Arabidopsis thaliana: one gene and its partners. The protein of the gene in region 4 interacts with the protein of the main gene of each other region in a pairwise test. Each region holds a gene or a part of one and is shown on either strand. Other genes may lie near its edges. The genes, in order: AT5G41350, AT2G37150, RMA2 and UBC29.

What was found.
Region 1: the proteins of UBC29 (region 4) and AT5G41350 interact in a two-hybrid assay, tested with the Arabidopsis thaliana proteins (one large-scale study listed by BioGRID).
Region 2: the proteins of UBC29 (region 4) and AT2G37150 interact in a two-hybrid assay, tested with the Arabidopsis thaliana proteins (one large-scale study listed by BioGRID).
Region 3: the proteins of UBC29 (region 4) and RMA2 interact in a two-hybrid assay, tested with the Arabidopsis thaliana proteins (one large-scale study listed by BioGRID).

What each region holds. Positions count from the first base shown.
Region 1 is NC_003076.8:16,540,944-16,545,874, reverse strand, and holds AT5G41350 (RING/U-box superfamily protein), read left to right. Parts: upstream 1-1,902; 5' UTR 1,903-2,486; coding exon 2,487-2,489; intron 2,490-2,663; exon of another isoform or gene 2,664-2,710; coding exon 2,711-2,851; intron 2,852-3,021; coding exon 3,022-3,451; intron 3,452-3,560; coding exon 3,561-3,670; intron 3,671-3,819; coding exon 3,820-3,849; 3' UTR 3,850-4,413; downstream 4,414-4,931. Other genes in the region: XPB2 (homolog of Xeroderma pigmentosum complementation group B 2), read right to left, coding at 276-332, 435-657, 740-908, 989-1,061, 1,149-1,192, 1,292-1,301.
Region 2 is NC_003071.7:15,603,047-15,609,567, reverse strand, and holds AT2G37150 (RING/U-box superfamily protein), read left to right. Parts: upstream 1-1,967; coding exon 1,968-2,121; exon of another isoform or gene 2,122-3,359; coding exon of another isoform or gene 3,360-3,402; exon of another isoform or gene 3,403-3,574; coding exon 3,575-3,679; intron 3,680-3,813; coding exon 3,814-4,545; intron 4,546-4,620; coding exon 4,621-5,036; intron 5,037-5,226; coding exon 5,227-5,328; intron 5,329-5,405; coding exon 5,406-5,543; intron 5,544-5,667; coding exon 5,668-5,820; 3' UTR 5,821-5,987; downstream 5,988-6,521. Other genes in the region: AT2G37160 (Transducin/WD40 repeat-like superfamily protein), read right to left, coding at 1-235, 339-521; AT2G37140 (Terpenoid synthases superfamily protein), read right to left, coding at 6,239-6,442.
Region 3 is NC_003075.7:14,006,925-14,010,865, forward strand, and holds RMA2 (RING membrane-anchor 2), read right to left. Parts: upstream 2,364-3,941; 5' UTR 1,877-2,363; intron 1,276-1,876; 5' UTR 1,272-1,275; coding exon 690-1,271; 3' UTR 551-689; downstream 1-550. Other genes in the region: LLG3 (LORELEI-LIKE-GPI ANCHORED PROTEIN 3), read left to right, coding at 3,861-3,941. UniProt on the Arabidopsis thaliana protein: E3 ubiquitin-protein ligase that promotes the ubiquitination and proteasomal degradation of the auxin-binding protein ERABP1.
Region 4 is NC_003071.7:7,265,967-7,269,572, forward strand, and holds UBC29 (ubiquitin-conjugating enzyme 29), read left to right. Parts: upstream 1-1,755; 5' UTR 1,756-1,913; coding exon 1,914-1,983; intron 1,984-2,084; coding exon 2,085-2,212; intron 2,213-2,397; coding exon 2,398-2,502; intron 2,503-2,627; coding exon 2,628-2,771; 3' UTR 2,772-3,089; downstream 3,090-3,606. Other genes in the region: AT2G16730 (glycosyl hydrolase family 35 protein), read right to left, coding at 1-139. UniProt on the Arabidopsis thaliana protein: Accepts the ubiquitin from the E1 complex and catalyzes its covalent attachment to other proteins.

The DNA of each region.
Region 1 (4,931 bases), on a different chromosome or scaffold from region 4:
ACTGTGGAGAATACAATGGTATAAGAGATATCAATTTCACATTCAATGAACCAAGGAGTTTAAAAAGAAGGATAATGAGTTTATTTATCTATTAAATAGTTCAAGAAAAAATTAGAATTTAAACACGAAACCAATAGCCCCAAGAGAATCAGGATAGATCTCTCTGCCGCATTGGTATCAAAAGATGCAAAAACTGTTGAGAACAACAGATCATGGTATGTATTTCCATCCAGTAATAGTAAACATAAAGCACTAAATTGAGGAGTTCAACATACCTCAGAAGTAAATCTTGCTCGATTTATGACATCATCACTGAGAAGCCTTTTCAACACCTAAGATTGTTTATATTTAACGAGTGAGCAAAACCAACAGAGAAACTACACAAAAATCCCATACGCATAACTAGAGAAAGAGGATCAGTCTGGTGAACTTACCTCCGGGAATGGTGATTCAATAAAATACCGATTTTTCTTCAATACCAACTTCACTTTCCCATAATTAGCAGTAGAAGCATGGATGAAATCAATGATCTCCCCGGGTAGCTTGGTCTTAGATAGCTTATTCAAAACAGAGATGATAGTTTCTGTCTCAAGACCAACGGAAACAGCAGCATACAACGAGTGTGGGGTTAAATTATACTCGTGCATTGACTCAGGCCTGAAATAGTAACAAATGAATGAAAATCAACAACAAAAATCATAACTTGTACATTGATATAATAATCAAATCAAAATCAAACCTGCAAACGGGTTCAGCAATGGCGATAAGAAAGTCATAAGCTTGTTTATAGAGAGGAGAAAATGTCTCCAAGAAAATCTTTCCATCAGCACAAGCCCACAAAGGCCTATTTCCATGATCCGGCTTCAACTCCAAATCAGTAAAATCTCTCCTCTTCTCCTCTCCTTCACCTTTAAAAACCATTATAAATTCTATTTCAATTTTGTTCCCAATGTATCTATGTTAATTATACGAGAGTAATCAATATTACCATCACGAGAATCCTCATCAGCATCATCATAGTAATCTTCAACGTTTTGTATGTTCTTCATCTTTTGATCATCCTGAGATTTTTACAGTACAATTACACTAACTAGAAGTGAAGAGCCTAATAAATAAAAAAAGTCATGTGGAGAAGAATCAACACGAACCTTCCCACCGTACTTCATCTTCTTTGTAGGTCGTTTTCTTTCATCTAAACATCAACATTTTCCCCAGTATTAGCATACTCTTTTCACCGGATAATTCAATAAACGAATCAAAACTCAGTACGATCGAGATTCGAGACCATTACCGTTTCCCATATTGATTTTCTTCTTTTCGCTCCTCTTAATCAAATCGATTTTAGGGATTGTTTCTCTTGTATTTTCAATTTGTGAATTCGCACATAACCTAAATTGTACGACGGAGGGAATATACAACCGTCTTCGTGGTAATTTCCCGTTGTAAGCTATTCAACGAAGCAAGCTGCGTCTCCGGCGAATTCGGATTCCTGTGTCGAGTCGGTGACTCGTTTGAAGCGGAGGAAGGAAATTGTTAAGCAGAAACGTAAGAACACGATTCATATATAAAGGCTGCAGTAACAGATCAAATATGGGCTTTTAATAGGATTCTTTAAATGGGCTTTATTCTTAAGTTTGAGCCCATGTTTCTTTTTTAAACATCGATAAATTATTTGCCGGAAAAAAAATAGTAATAATTTTACTGAAAATGGTACTTCCCAATTTATAATTTTTTGGTCGACACTTTTCAGCCGATTTTCAGTTATGTAATTTCATTATTGAAATTTTGAAAAATACATTGTAACGGAAAAAATAAAATAATTAATCAGCTAATTAATAATTGTATTAATGAATTTAATAAATCAGGTAAGTAAATATAATATTGAGCCCAAAAAGAGTCTTTGTAATTTCTTAGGAAAGTCATTTTGATAGAGCGCACGATAAACACAGCACCGCAAAAAGCACAGAAGCAGAGAAAGACGAAGACAAAACAAAAAAAGCTTCCCCCAAGAACAAAAAGTAAAATTCTCTCTATGATTTTGAGATTTTTAATTCCTCTTCTCTGATTCAATCTCGAGAAGATGATCGGTTCTTCTTTGGTGTTTGTTCTTGCTAGTGATCGCTTTTCTTTAGGTTTTGAGCTTGATTTTTGTGTGAAATTCTGTGGGTTTTTTTTTTACTGTTTTGATCCGTATTTCTCCTATGTGTTTATGCTAGATTCTGAGAATTCTGATGTTTATTGTTGCTTTTATAAGTTTCGGTTTAGGGTTTTACGGATTAGCTTGCTCTTAATGGAGCTTTGGTTCTTTTTGTGGATTCATTGTTTGTGTTGGAGTTAAATTCTGAGTAGAATTGTTTTAAGTTTTTGGGGTTTAGTGTAAAACTGATTTGAATTTATTGCAATTGTGTGTAGATGGTGCTAAAGAGAATGAGAATTGTAGGAGATTCACATAGGCTTGTAGTCGCAACACTGTTGTCTCGATTTTAATGGTTGATGTTTATTGTATCTTTGATTATTGAGAGTGAATTTGAACTGTTAGTAGCTGAATTGTTTTATTGTTGCTACTAGCATGATGAGTCTGATCAGACTTTAGTAGACAGCTCAAACTGATATCGAAAACGATAAAGCTTGTTTGAGTTTCTTGCATATAGATGATAAATATTCTCCTACTGATCTCAGAATGTAATTTGTTTCTTCACATATCTTGTAGGTTAGCATAGATGAAGAGTCTTCGGGTTTTGTAGTTTTTGTAAAACAGAAAAAAAAAAAAAGAGAAGAAGAGATGGGAGGTTGCTGTTGTTGTTCTTCTTCACGAAGAGCTGATGTAGATAATGGACCTGCGTACTACTACGTTAGTCTGATACTTCTCCCACTTCCTCGTTTTTTTTGGGTGTCCTTGCTTTGATAGGCTGCAAATAAATCAATCTTGATGTGCTTCAGGACACTAAATGAGTTAAAAGCCCCAACGGGCTTCGAGATTCATATGGGAATATAACTTGTTTTATGACTTGTATTTTGCAGTACCCAAGGGCAACAGAAGAGCGTGTGCCTTTATCTTCCGCTCATAACAGGACTTCCTCTGCAATCTCTACTGGTGTTGTAGTAGTAGACACAAACTTAGAGACATCATCTCCTGATGCTTATATACCACCGCCACTGCCTACCCCTTTCGATGTGCCTATAGGGATTCCTCAAACACCAGCTAGTGGTGAAGAGGCTACTTGTGTTGATATAAGAGAGGTTTCGGTGGACTCTGCTAATACCGAGTCTGCTCAAGAAACAGTTGATGGTATTACTCTCGGGGTTCCAACTACATGCTCACATAAAGAGACAGATAGCAAAATCCAAACAGAGATTGATCTTGAATCTACTGAAGAAATAGACCCGAAGCTATCAAAAGCTGTTTTTATACCAATAGAGGAAGAGGAGGATTGTCCCATATGTTTGGAAGGTAAAAGCTTGTTTGCCTTTCCCACATCTCAAAAACATATAAACATAATCGTACCTTACATGACTGCGAGAATGGGTTATTTATTATATTGTCTGTGCTTTTGATTCAGAATATGATATCGAGAACCCGAAACTTGTAGCCAAATGTGATCACCATTTTCACCTTGCATGCATTCTAGAATGGATGGAGAGAAGTGAAACCTGCCCCGTCTGCAACAAGGTACATTCTTTTATTCACTTCTCTTTGGTGTATGTCGAAAAACTCTAATCTCTAAGTAAACCGTAAATAATGAGTAGTTCCAATTTAGCTTGTTTACAAATTCATTTTAATTCCCGGGATATGTCTGAGAGGATCCGTTTGTTCTGCAGGAAATGGTATTTGACTCTACTCTTGACTAGCAACCCGCAAATGCCGCATCTTAGAAGGCTCAATTCTCTCTGTATCAGAAGAAAGAAATTGGAGAACAAGAGAAAAACTTAAAAAGAAAAAATGGGTAAGAATACACTAATAGCTGATCACAAAGTTGGATTTACGAAACATGTCAGTGTTGATATACATATGTTTGTGTACAGACGTTTCAAATCGTCTACAAAAAAACGGAGATTAAGAATTAGAGTTTGTGCTTTAGATTCACTTCTGTGAATAAAAAACGAGACAAAACTGATAATTTTTCTTCTAGATGTTTTAATTTTGGTAATTCTTGTTTATAGGTTATTTTAGGAGTGTTTTAAAGCTGGGGTTTCAATTTGGGTTTGATTCAGTTTTTTCTTGAGTTTAAGAAAAATATTAATCAAACTGAAATTGAGAGTTTGTTATGTATGGATTGGGTTTATTACGGTTCGATTTTAGTTTGGTTTAGTGCTTATTTATTTTCTTTATGTTGTTCTGTGATATGTAATATGAAAATTGTTTATACTTACTAGTTTGTAGTGTTTATGTTTTAGATTTCTTAGTTCTTCACATTTTCGAAACTTGGTTTGTTTAGTTGTCTCATTAGTTGAATATGTGATGTCGTATTGTCGTACATCTTACTTACATGAGTACGTCAAATTAAATGAGACTTATCTAGTAAATGATATTGTTACATGTAGATGCAATATTAGTCATTGCTTTGTTTAATAAATAATATTTGTCACAAGTGAGTAAGTGACAGATGAATAGTTGCTAATTATAGTGAATCATGCTAATGGTATATTGGACAAATATTTTTATTTTTTAAAAAATTTCCTGTCTAATTTGTTTTTTCTAGTTAAATACTTATACAGATTCATGTTTTTAGACTGTAATCGGGCATGACCATCCAACTATTTTTGTCGACCAACAACTTCAACGCGCCAGAAAAGCGTTTTGAGTGACCATTACTGTGTAAAACAGTATAAAATAGAGGTTTTTTTGTCACGCCATTGGTTTAAATGAAAAATTAAATTTAACAAAATTGAAAACTTTAAAAATAATAAAATCAGATAAACATAAGCGAACA
Region 2 (6,521 bases), 8.3 Mb from region 4:
CTCCAACAAAACTAAGCGCACGGTTACCATTCCCACCACCCAATAACCTTGCTGTTGCTGACCGGAAACCGCTACTAGCTGTGGAACTTGACGAGGTCCCAGTTGGTGTCGATGGAGCAGGTTTATCCTTAAGGTGAGCTAGAGTAACCTGACACCAAAATTTCACAAATCCATTCTCAGAAACCACTTTCAAAACATAAAAATGAAATGTGCATTTGATATTCTTACACAAAACCTAATAGCAATTTCGTAATAGCAATCACAAGTGCAAAGAAATCAGATTGGATTAAACTTTCAATTCAAAAATAAACACCAAAGAAAACGAATCAAATCTTCACCTGAGTAACGGTTTTGCCATGAGTGTAGTGAAGAAGCCCAGAGGGATGCGTCTTCTCGTAGTGGAGCTTGTACTTTCCTTCAGGCGTCTTGAAATACGTTTTGATTCCCGGAGACTGAGGATTCGCCGCCGAAGCTGACGAAGAAGAAGGCCCAGAGATCATCCCATTCGAAGTGTTCATCATATTTGCTCACTTGCTCTTTCTCTAATTCACAAGCTACTTAGAGCATCCGATCATGTCCCTCCCAAGCTAGGGTTTACCCTTCTCCCACTACACAAAATCCAAAAATCTTCTCTTCTTCAATGCAAATTTCTCTAAACTCTGTTCATCATCGTCGCCAAAATCAAAATGGAACTTTAATACTCCTGGATTCGCCAATGGCTACTGGATCAAAAAGATTAATACAATGTGGATTCCGATTCGCTTCCTTTATTGCTTTCTTAATCATCCTCTTAACTCATCAATCAAATTGACTATTAATGGATAAAATCAAAGTCATCTCGATCAACGGTCAAGATCCCTTTAATCTCTGAGTTTCTCGAACCCTTTTGATACGTACAGCTGAGGCCCAAGTACAGTCCAAAAATATAGGCCCATTACTGAAGAACCATAGTTAATTAATAAATTGTTTAGTCGACAATAAGACAGTGAACGGGTTTTACCGGTAGCCGGTGAAGTTGGTCAGAGAAGGGATTAATGTCCCGGCAACGTCGTAACTCAACCGCTTTAATTTGATTTTTCTTAAATATAAACCGATACTCTTCATCGCTCAACCATCACCAAAAAAGAAAGCAATTTGTCTTCAAAACATATTTCTCTCTCTAAAACCTCTTTTTCATAAAAGGTTGCGTCATCTATACGAATCCATACGTCTCTTTGCTTTTCTCCGATCGGTCTTCTTTTCTCATCGCCGGAACGCTTTGGTAATGTTTCTCATTTCTCCGATCATTATTGTTGTTTCGCCGTTGAGCTGATTATTTCGTGTTGGTATGTATAAACAAGCCGATCGTTGTTTCCTTTTTTCTCTTGTGATTGTGTGATGATGGATTGTTTCTTTTTTTCGGTTTAATCCGGTTTATTCCCGGTTTTGCTGCTACATCGGTGACTTTTCCCACAATCTTCGGGTATGATCGCGATCATGTCCGTTAACCGGAGTCGGTTCTGATAATTTCAGACTTCGAATTTGTTCTCTTTCACGTAGTTGTTAGCTTTTTAAGATTCCGATACTGAGAAGAGACCAGCTCGGTGATTAGAGGAGATGTTGTAAGCTTTGTGTTTTGGTTAGCTGTTGATAATGTTGTTCAGGCTGCTACTTCAGCGATGCGGGTAAGCTAGTTTGGGATATAGTGTATTAGCATAACCTAGGCTTAGCTGGTTTGTATCCTGCAGGCTGCAGGTTTAGTGGCAATGGTGGTTTCTAGTTCTATCATACCTTTCTCCACCACGAACCTCTGGTAGTTGAGAAACTGGAGAAAAGCCTAATCAGTGATTCAAGTGTTTGGAAGATTTGAGAACTAGTACGGCTATAGTTTCAGGTCAGAATTCATCTTCCTCTTTGAGAACTTTTAGAAACTTTGAAATTATGGCATCATTCTTAAAGAAATTGCATTGATAACACATTTCAAACAGATGTTAGTTCCTCATGTTAGCCCATTAGGATTGGTGGCTGGCCTATCCTTGATGTATTCTGATTTGCGGATTGTGTTGTGGACCTTCTTGGTTGATTGGGAAAGCAAAGCGAACTTGAACTCAAGTCATCTAGAAGTTATTCTGATCCATAGGGGTAAGGAAATAACCATAACTAGTCTCTGCCATCACATGTGTACCAGAGTGTGTTTAGTCAGTTGAAGATGCTTGAGGTACGGTATCCATGAGTGGGGAACTTCAATCTTCCTAACAAACTACATCTATCATATAATGGTTTCTAGAGTGACATGCTGTCACGTACAAGCATTTGATTTGGATGCACAATGATGTGAAACATAATGCTAATTTTAAGAAAGCATCCTTTCACACAAGCCCGAATTCAGGAGTCTATTAAGGTGTGCTGGTGGGTTTGAAGACAATAAGAGCGCAGAAATAGTAAATGAGGTAGTAAGCCTTTGCAGGCTAGTACTTTTGTGGACTAAATCCGTTTATCTAAGGAAACTGTAGTGTATTCAATTTGTGGATCAGAGGAGAAGGAATAGAATTTGGTGTTCTCATTGTATTAGTGAAGTCAAGGGCCTAATTGCTTCCTGTTGGTCTACTTTAAAGGTGTGCAGAAATGATGAATCAGTGATCAATCAAGCACGACGGCTTTATCACTTGGGTAGTGTAGTGTATTCGTGGTTAGGACTTTCTAAACCTATATCCTTCTAGGATTATTTGCCTGCAGGTGCACTTTTGAGGGTTTCGGTTCAGAAAAATATTTTAAGCTTAAGTCCTGCTATTGGATTTTCCATGTAATTTTCTTGCTCATGTCATCTATGGTTGTAAGTTTAGTGAAATACATGTACAAGGCCTTTACTTGAATATAAACGAAGAAGTAGTACATTGATAGAAACTGAAAAGATGATATCAAGTGTTACCTATTTTGCATGAACTTGCTCTGATGCTCTTTTATGCGGATACAGTATATGATAATTTGCCATCGTGCCTTATTCTTTCATCCTCTTCTATTTCCTAATCAGTTTCCTATAGACTTTTCTGTAAATTCTATAGACTTTTTGAAAGTGTGTAATTTGATGAACTCCTTGTATTACTCTTCACTTTTGATGGCTCTGGTTTGGAGAGTCGAGAACCTTAGTGATACTTTAAATGCAAAGGCTTCTTAGTTTCCCAACCGTGCTTGTTTTCTGCCTCTCTTTTCTTTTGGTTTAAAAGAAGTATGTCTGTTGTTATTGACAAACTCTTCTATGTAAGTTTTTCTTATGAACTAAAAGATCTGTACTATTAAGGTTTATTTTTCATGTATAAGCATCATGAACTTTCCTGCAGCACAGAGCCTAAGTCCACAAAAACTTGTTTGCTTATGATATCATGAGATCTGAGGTATATAATATGGTAGGTACATGTTACAAAGGTAATGGTACTAGAGCTTGAAACTATGGACTGATTTCTTATATATTTACTTGGGAAATTTGGCTATCAGACTGAAAGTAAACTATGTTGGTTGGAAATTATAGATTTTTTTTTTTTCTGAGCTTGCGGATGTTTTCCTGGGATTTTGAATGGTGAGAGAAATTTTTGTGCAGGTTTAATGGGGCACAGACATTTTCTTGGTTCATCCCAGTTTTTTGATGATGAACATGATCAAGGCTGGAATCATACACACCCAGAACATCCATATTCGAGTCAAGGTAATTAGTCCTTCATTCTATAGTTCCTTAATCTGTTTTTTATTTATTGAAATTTGGTTGATGATGCATGTTTAGTTTTAGGGTAATATGTTCCATATTTCTGATTAATTATTGTCCATCCCACATTTTCTCAGCAACATCTGGGACCAGTGAGAACAGATCACATGTTTATCCAGCAGAAAACATGTTGAATGAAGGAATGCCAGTGTCTTCTCATTGGAACTCTTCTCCAGGACCAAATGCTTATACTGACTCAGGTCATAGTGTGGAGAGACCACACTACAATCCGGGGGTTTCGGGGCCGTCCCATGATCCTTCCGTGAATTCAACAGTTCCAACTTTCTCTGCTCCACATGAGAATTATGTGACATTTGCATCTTCTTCAAGCTACAACAGCCAGACATGGTCAAATGCTAGTTATGTTGATCATCAATCTATGGAAAGTGTGAGAGGAGCACAAAAGAGAAAACGACCATGTCCTTCTTCCATCTATGAAATGGGTAGTTCAAGCCAATATCACGGTGACAGAACTCCTGCAGACACTCATTTCCCCTCGGAATTGCACTTGGGAAAATCAATAACGCATGATCATGACCCTCATTACATGCCATGGCTTATGAACCCAACTTACAGAAGTAATAATCTCTCGATCAGGGGAGAGAGCTCTTCAAGGAATGTCCGGAGTCGTCCTACACTTGATTCAGAGACCAGCTTAGGTAGAAATAATTTGCCAAGAAGCTTGAGCCTTGATTCTCATTCTACACACCACCACAGTGTTGATCATTATGGCTCAGGTCAATTTCCTGGTCAGACATCTCACGGAAATAAAGACTGGAACTGTGCTAGATTGTCCCCAGTTCTTAGAGGTATGCAAAGTTCACTTTGTCTCGATATCTGAATCGTCTTTGTTTCTAATAATCACATTAATTCCCACTTTGCAGATATAAATGGCTTTAGTCCAGAGACAAATAATTTCCTTCCTGCAAGAAGTGTTGTCAACAGCTTATCTGTTAATACTTCCGGCTATCATCACCATGAGCTTACCGGAAACAGAAACCCTACAGTTTCCCACGGGGTTCCTGGAACTTCAACACTATCTACAAGCAGCAGCCGCTTCTCTCATAGGTCAACATCCACCTATAGATCTTCTTCACACGGTTCGCGATCGGGACATGTAGCATCTTCTTCTGGAGACAGGTCTCATTTGGTCACTGAGACTTATCCGTCTAGGCATTTAAGGCCACCACCACACATTTCATGGCGTAGCGGTGATCGGCCAGGGAGACGCAGAAGTTCCTATGAGAGGTTTCAGCCTCCTTTCGATGAAGTTGCTCTCCACGAACGGTTTTCATCTGAGGTATATATTTCCCTTACAGATGCATTATTTAGAGTGGAAGTCTGTCTAAATTACATTTAGTATTAAGATAAAGATCAAGCCGATATGATACAGTGCATATCGAATATTAAGATATAGATTTGCAATCTTATCATTTTCTGCTGCATGCTGAACTGTAATCTGTTATTTTTTGGGGTGTATGTAATAATAGGAATTCATGGTTGAAGATCGCCAACCACAATACTACGGATCCAGAAACATGCTTGATCACCACAGAGACATGAGGCTTGACATCGATAACATGAGCTATGAGGTTAATAGCCAAACACTTATCTTTTGAAGCCTCACATAGGCAAAACGAAAAGTTTTGGTACTGACATATATATGCAGGAACTCCTTGATCTTGGAGAAAGGATTGGGAGTGTCAACACTGGTCTATCCGACAGCGCAATCTCCAGTTGCTTGTTAGCAACAATGTATTATCCATCATATCAAACAGAGGAGCAAAGAAAATGTGCAATCTGCCTGGTAAGATTTAGTTTTTTTTTTTTTTTTCACAACCTGGTAAGATTTAGTTGTCTGAAACATTATGTGTCTATAAAGTTAGAAGTAGGCTAACTTAAGGGTGATGTGGTAATTGGTAAACAAATAGGAGGAGTACAAGGAAAAAGAAGAGTTAGGGGAAGTTAAGGGGTGTGGTCATGACTACCATGGGAGGTGCATCAAGAAATGGTTGTCTATGAAGAACTCTTGCCCTATTTGCAAATCCCCTGCTTTACCTGATGCTTCTAAGAACTCATCATAAATTATAGGTTATCTTTTATGTGTGCATGTTATATTCATTTGTCTTTCGAAAGGAAGAAAAATATGTGACAGAATATAACATTAAGTTTTCTTAGTGATTAATAGTTGTAAATAGAAGAAAGTCCAGGATCTTTCTCAAGGGTTAATATATATGTTAATTATTGGAAAAGGCTCTCTTTGGAAAATCTGGATTTGTTACAGATGCAAATAGTTACACAACACTTCACACTATATGGTATTTCATCTTCAAAGAGAAATAAGATTGACAAATAAAGAGATGATATAGTCCTTGAATTTTCCTTGTGGATGGGTGAATTCTTCACCGGTCCTGTAGGTCACATCTATCATTTTTCCAGCATTAGTGGCCCGTGATAAGATATCGCCTGATATTATCTTCCTTGACTTCAAGTACACTTCGTTCACTGACTTGGCCGTCTGGATTTAAGCCACTCATAACTTTTTCTTCTAGCAGTTTGTACCAACCCAAGAAAACTGCATGAAACAGTTACATACATTGACACCTCAACACCACCAATCTCCAAGTACTCATCGAATGTAGGCACGATGTCTCCTTGTGCCCACTCTGCATAGCTAAGGTTGGCCTTTGAGTATAGTTTGAACTGCTTAATGTTTAGGAGCATATATACAAAAAGATGTTATGTCTATGATAATCTCTTTATGTCGACCGTTATTAGTGAGGTA
Region 3 (3,941 bases), on a different chromosome or scaffold from region 4:
TAAAACTGTATAGATACCAACAAGGAAATTCGAACTTTTTAAAACCTATAAGAAGTGGAAATAGGCAAATTAAATTAAAACTTTTGCAGATAGAAAAAATCGATCCCATGAATGAGGGATTGTCTCGATCGGACCCGACCCATAAGGCCATGAACTCATCTCATACTAGTCTATGCTTTTAATGAAACCAGCTCACTCCAATCACTTTACCAATTTTCTTTGCAACATTTTTAATGTATAAAGAAAGACTCGTACTGCAAATTAATGTTTCTACTTCTTTATCTAACAGTCGTATTCGATTCGCCGTTATCAATCAAATCTAGGGCCCCCTATTCTCACTTTTTTTTTTCTTTTTTTTTGTAAAAGTTGGTTTGGTTTTAAACGATTGTAATCCGACATAAGCAACACCATTTGCGTCGCATTCGAATGCCACTATCAGCTTTTTTGGAGCACAAATCTATTTGAGTTGAAGATAAGCCTCCTTTTTAACCCATGCTCTCATCTTCCCACATCATCCCATGATATATCGAATAAAGAAGAAGCCATTTGGTGTCGTTTCTTTCTTTGGACGTTATTATATGCTCATCATACAATTTCAACGATTCAAGACTCTTAAAAATATACAAATTGTTATTACATATATGCATACTCATTCCAATTGGTATATTATATACACATATATATTATAATTAGAAGAGAAATAGACACATAAACATGAAGCAAAGTAGAAACAAGTAGACTCTGCTTAATGACTCCTCAGCCTGCATTGCCCGTCGCCTAGACCGGACATTCATATCGCGGTAAGGTGCCATGTTGCTCGAAGACTCTCCAAATAGTCTCCGGTATACCATTTCGCATACCACACCCATCACCGGATCAGGCATTCTATACATGTAACGTTGACTCTCCCCTTCTCCTAAACGTTGACCAACTCCTCTTAAGTCATAAACCGGACCAGTTGGTCTGCTCGGTACATTTGAACCGGACTGGGGAGCTTTCTGTCCTCGTCCGTAGATCGGGACAAGCGTAGCCTCGGAGACATCAGATTTGCATACCGGACATTTTGGTGGTTCCCTCTTATGATCGTATTGATCGACTCGTTGTCTTGAATTGTTGGACGCATAAGTCCACTTGTGAATGCAGGGCCAACAAAACAGGTGGCCACATAAAGTCACGACCGGGTCTCGAACCTGATCCAAACATATGTTGCAGTCGAAGTCTCCTCCAGAATCAACCAATGTTGTGTCGTCCTCATCCTTCTCAATCTCCATTTTACTAAAACATACAAGACAAACAACCATTCACTTGACCAGTCGTTGTTTATTTAATGAGATTTCACCTAAATAAGTAAATAGTAAATACTAAAGTCTAATTCCAATTAGAGATTTATAAAATCAATGATACTTCATAGAAACAAGAAATATCATCAAAATATGAAGATCAATATAGATTATAACAGAATTGTTGTGTATATACTTAGCATGATCGATCTTGAATTTAAAACTTACACTAACCAAAAAAAAAAAAGAAGAAGATTAGACGCAAAAAAGTAAGGATCATATTCTTTAACAAGTTGAAGTTACGAAGACTTGACCTAATCACTTTCTGTTTCCGACGCTTTGCTCTGTTTTCACTTAATCCCAAAGCACGTTATTGTTTAAGAAAAAAAGCTAAATAATTAAAGACAAAGGAGTGGTTGATTAAACAAACAAGTGATATTATGATCCTTTAAAAAATGACATGGTATATCGAAAACAATCATCTTCTTGCGTAGCAACTCAAAAACGGTGCAGATCTACTACTAATTCGATGCCTTTAGATAGACACACGCAACAATATATAATAAGAGTGATGATTCCAGAAAAAAGAAACGTACTCTTTGGAAAGATTGTAAGTACCGATGGATCTCTTCTGTCTTTAAGCCTTTGGAAACTTGAGAGAGCTTGTACAGGTTCATGCGACAATGGCAGAAGAACAGAGAAAATGATTTATTTGGGTTAAGAGAATGGGGTAAGAATGTTTAGATCGAGGGTGGTGCAGAAGCAGGAGACCTTATTATACACACATACACAATTATTTTTATTCTTATTTTCTTAAGGTGTGCAAAATTAAAATCCGGACAAGTTATGATTTTAAAGAGGAAGAAACGTCTACCTAATTAAAAATAAGTAGATAAAGTAACGAAACGCCATTCATCTTTTTTTTCTTACATGTCTGTCTTTATTTCATGAAAAGGTCAGCAACGGATAGCATCGTTTTAAAAAAAAGTAAACAAGATAATATAATTATTTATACACAACTAAATATATATTTATAGAAAAATATTTATTTTAGTTTGAATAAAATTGTATGTTGAAAAAAAAGTATGAATTGGAAATATGCCCTAATGAGTCCATGAGACCATGACTTTTGTAGGGGAAATATACACAGAAATTGCAAAATTCCCCCATAACTTTATCCCAATATCATATTCATAAGATAAGAATTTGGCTCTGAAAAAAACAAAAGATAAGAATTTGGCAGTTTCTGTTTCTGGCAACACAATAGTAGATACTGAACCAAGCTCGATGACGTGGCACTCCATGGCTGCACCGTTACTCCATCAAATTCACTTGAAAAAAAAAACAAAAAAAAAATGCTAGTAATTTTGAAAATTCTGCTTATTTTGGTACTTTACTTTTTTTTTTATGGAAATTGTAACTATTAGGTGTTGAGTGAATAACAATGGCAATTTGGTAAGTTGTTTATTCAAAGTTGGAACTGGAGAATACTAAGTTTGCGACTAAAGCCTTAATCAAAGGCCTTATCAACCAATAGTTGAATTAGTTTATAGACCACAAAGATAATTAGGTTACACGTCACGGAAGCAAGGAGCTATTGGTGTCACCAGACCATAGTATTTAATTTCAAGTCTATTAATTGTAGAAGGCAACCCAAAATCCACTCCTTGAAATAATAAAACACTGTCTTAAATTCGTATTTGTTGAGTCCTTCACCACCATTATGTCTGATTCTGCTTATATACAAATTTAAGTAAGGTTGTTAGACGGTTCATGTCTCCGAATCTTTGATCAATTGTAAAGTGTAATGTAAAATAGTTTTTTTTTTTTTTAATTTTAAATTTGCGACTACTATATCTAAAAGTCTACTATCAACTACAACTTCACTTGTAAATTGTAATACTCTCGAATAGATCATTTTTGATGAAACAAGTTAGACAATCATCCAAAATTAATCACCAATTTGAGTGCCTCCGAATTTATTCACAATATTCATTATTGAAAAGCATTTTTGGATATGGCCAACCAATAAAATGAAAATTGAACTTTAAAAAAAAAAAACTACTATACCAACAATGTAAAAACAATGTGTGTGTTCACCATCATTAGAACAAGATCTACTCAATGTTTTAAATGTATATATAATATGTTTTGCGCAAAAAAACGTATATGTAATATTATATATATCACGTTCATGATAATGTTTTCAAATTCTCATATGAAATTATTGGAGCAAGTTGCATTTACGATCCGGAGAACTGAGCCAAGAAATGGGCGGTTCTCAATTTATTATGGGTATTATTAACCAGTGGTGGTTGAACCAAAATTAATCTATTCATTTTCTCTATCAAACTTTTTGTTACTTTGATGGTTTGTCTCAATCGATTAAAATAGTAACTAGTTATTTTGTTTTGGCATGTCACTGAATTGATGTTGTTTCTTCTAATTTATGATCCGCTATATCCGCAGCATTTTTCTCTCCTCCTATAACTCTAATGGAAACAGGAAAAAGAAAAAACAAGAAACGATTAGAAACTCAAATGTGACAAAAAGTCAAAAAATAGAGGAGGAAACAAAAACATGAAGATTACTCATCATTGTTTGGTTTCTCTTCTCTCTATCCTCCTTTTGTCTGGATTCGCTTTCTCTCATCACATCTCT
Region 4 (3,606 bases):
CATAAGTTACTTCTTTCTTTTTATCGACCGATTTCGTCTTCTTCTCTTTGTCATCGCTTGAGAGAGCTCCAGAGAAGGAGAGGAGAATCACGAGAACGGCTAGTAAAAGCCATGAATGATCAGAAGAATGTATTTTCATTTGACTATCTTCTTCTTCTTCTTCTTCTTCTTGAGGATTTTTAAATTTAAACAAGAATCCACCTAAAGGGATATCTTCCTTGTCAGAGAAATAAAAACTTTAGAGAAAGAAAATGAAATAAGAGAATGTTTCGCAGAGAACATAAGGTTTCAGAGAAATTCACGTATTCTCAATTTGAGATTCCACATTTTGTTTGTAAATAAAACTTCCAATAACTCTCCCTTTTATTTCCTTATTTCCTCCTTTCATTTTGTTTTCGTTGAATTTTCTAATTTTAAGGTTTTTGGTTGAAGAGCCTAATTTGGCGGGTATACACACAATGACTTCTCTCAATCACCACCAAAAAGAAATGTGAGCCAATGCTTATGTTGAGAAGGTGCGTATTACACCAAAAAAAAATGGTTCATACGAAACCAATGATTTTATTTTATTTTATTATGTTCATTATAAACACCACTTTTGGTTCTTCTTTAATTGTGGAAATGTGGATTAAATCCATGAGAGATCTAACAAAAATTTGTGTAACCTGTTATCTAGTTATTATTCTTTGTCTACAAGTTGAGTAAATTTTTTTGCTGTAATTTGGATTATCATCGTTTAAACCTTTAGCTTATTTCTAACTTTAAATATCATAACGGCAAAAATTGTAAAAGCTTTGGTATGCTTCTTTTACGTAAAATACATAAATGTGTTGACCGTGTGGTTGAAGATTGAAAGCAAAGCAAACAACATTTGTTACAAAAAAAATGGCTATTTTTTTAAGTAATCAATTAATCGTCTTTTAAAAAATCGAGACCAACTATTGTTGAGAATTATTTTCCTCCCGTAATCACCATCATAAAATATCGGTTGGGCAAATCACGTAGCATGCATGTACATTAACTTTGGACTAACAGCTGTGGAGTTTCTTCTTATAGCAATATTCAAAAGACCTAATAAGTCTGAAATAAACAGAGGCTTGAAGGTTATACTTAGATTGAAAGGCAATGATTTACATTTACATATATAGGTTGATCAATGACGATCTCTACGATATGTTGTGATATAAATCTTTAAAATAAGGAAATAATATATGCATCACTGATTTGTGGAGTGTTCCTCACTCGACGCCACTCTGATTTGTAAATTTTTTATTGTAAAATTTTAAAGTATGTAAATAGGGCCTATAATTTTTTTTCCTAATGATACATGGGCCTATAATCTTAAGAAACTTTTGAAATGGGTCCTATAAGTTTTCAATAACTATTTTACCTCATCAAATGTATGTTATGATTTATGATTATATTTGTTGAACATGATGCTCATCACCCATCACTTTGCTGGTCCAGTGAACGTGGACAATAAGATTAAGAACAAAGGATATTGTAATAACCATTCTTTATGTTAAGTTATTCTGATTCTCAGACTTTATCAAATCCCATTATAGACCGTTCAATAGATATGGTATATTACAGTAAGCATGTACGTAAGACCATCCACTTCAAGGCACGTCTCTCTTTCAGAATCAGAACAAAAGAATGGATCTTTCTCCATTACCTTTATGGGCAAAGCGGGCGGCTAAAAAGAGACTTTACAATGGTAAATCTTTACTTAAACAATGATAAATGCAATAGTGCAAGCATTCCTGTTTGCAAGAGAATCACAAATCTTTGCTTACGGTTCACGCTTTAAAAACACAACTCTCATTCTCCTTCTCTTCACAAACCACTCATATTTTTTTTCACATACTTCTTTGTAGTGCTACTTTCCATTATATCAAACACTCAGCAACCTGATGGCAACGAGACGGATATTGAAAGAATTGAAGGAGTTGCAAAGAGACCCTCCTGTATCATGCAGTGCAGGTAAAGGATCACAATTTGTTCTTAATACAATATAAGCCATGTATCAGAAATTTTTTCTAAAGATTTTGATATTTCCTTTCTCCTTGGTTTGGGATTTTTAGGTCCAACAGGAGAAGATATGTTCCACTGGCAAGCTACTATAATGGGTCCGAATGAAAGTCCTTACTCCGGAGGTGTTTTCCTTGTCAATATTCATTTCCCTCCTGATTATCCTTTTAAACCTCCCAAGGTAACAACTTTCTCAACAATTTTTTTGTTTTTTAATCTACTTCTTAAATCCAATAACCAAAAGGCACAAAACCAACATTAAATATTGGATCGTTTATGATCTTTTGGAACCTTAAGTTTTGATCTTTATTTTCAATCTTTTTCTTCTTCTTTACTCTTGTTGTTATGTTTGTTTGATAAAATCAGGTTGTATTCAGAACCAAAGTGTTTCACCCAAACATCAACAGTAATGGAAACATATGTTTGGACATTCTCAAAGACCAATGGAGCCCTGCCCTTACCATTTCTAAGGTTTGAAATTCTATATATGTATTTAGTTATTTGTCAATATTTTCTATAATTCCATATATCAGATTTGGTATATAACCAAGAAGCTCCAATAGGTAACACAAATTACTAACATTTTGGTATTATAGGTGCTTCTCTCTATATGCTCTCTTCTAACAGATCCAAACCCTGACGACCCTCTGGTGCCAGAGATAGCTCACATATACAAAACTGACAAGACCAAATATGAAGCCATGGCTCGAAGCTGGACCCAGAAGTATGCCTTGTTTTAAAGCTCACAATTCCTCTTTTTTTCCTTTTTATTTTGGTTTGGTCTTATTTGTAATAAAAAAAGAAGAAGAAGAAATTGTTATAATTTTAATACAAACATATATAATATATAAAGTAGAGTTTTCAAAGTTGTTAACTCATATGATTGATGAGATATCGACATGTATTAAATCTAATTTTGTTAATATATAAAAAATCTTCTAACCCTATCGGGAAAATAAAATATATACATAAATCACAAAAATTATTTATATAATCAAAAAATTTAATTATATTTTATATAATAAAATAATTCATATTATTAGCGAATTTGTTTTTTTTAAAGGACCGTTCAAATATGTTTTTTTGTGTATTTTGTCGAAATTTTTGTTATTTTTCTTTTTATTTTGTTAAAATAACTCTAAAATATAGATTTCAAACAACACATAAAATAGTGAGATGCATAGATAAAGGTTATAATGGGAAAACTCAATAGTATCAAAGATAAATGAGAATTAATTATAGTCATGTTTGTGTAAAAAATTTAGGACAAGTTACTAATATTTAAAGTTTAAGCCTAGTTATTTAGTAAACAACAAAAATAACTTACGTTATCTAACGATATTTTTGGAGAATAGATAGATTGAAATAAGAGTTAGAACACTAAATATTGAAAACGTGTGTGGGTTACTATTTAAAATTTAAATATCATAAAGAATTAAAACACGAAGATGAAATATGTAGAAATATTTTTTCAGCTCTTATCCATTAAAATGAAATATATAGAATTAAAATTCAGTATATTTTCATGAAATATATAGTTAAATTATTGCAAAATAGAATGGATAAAATTAAATT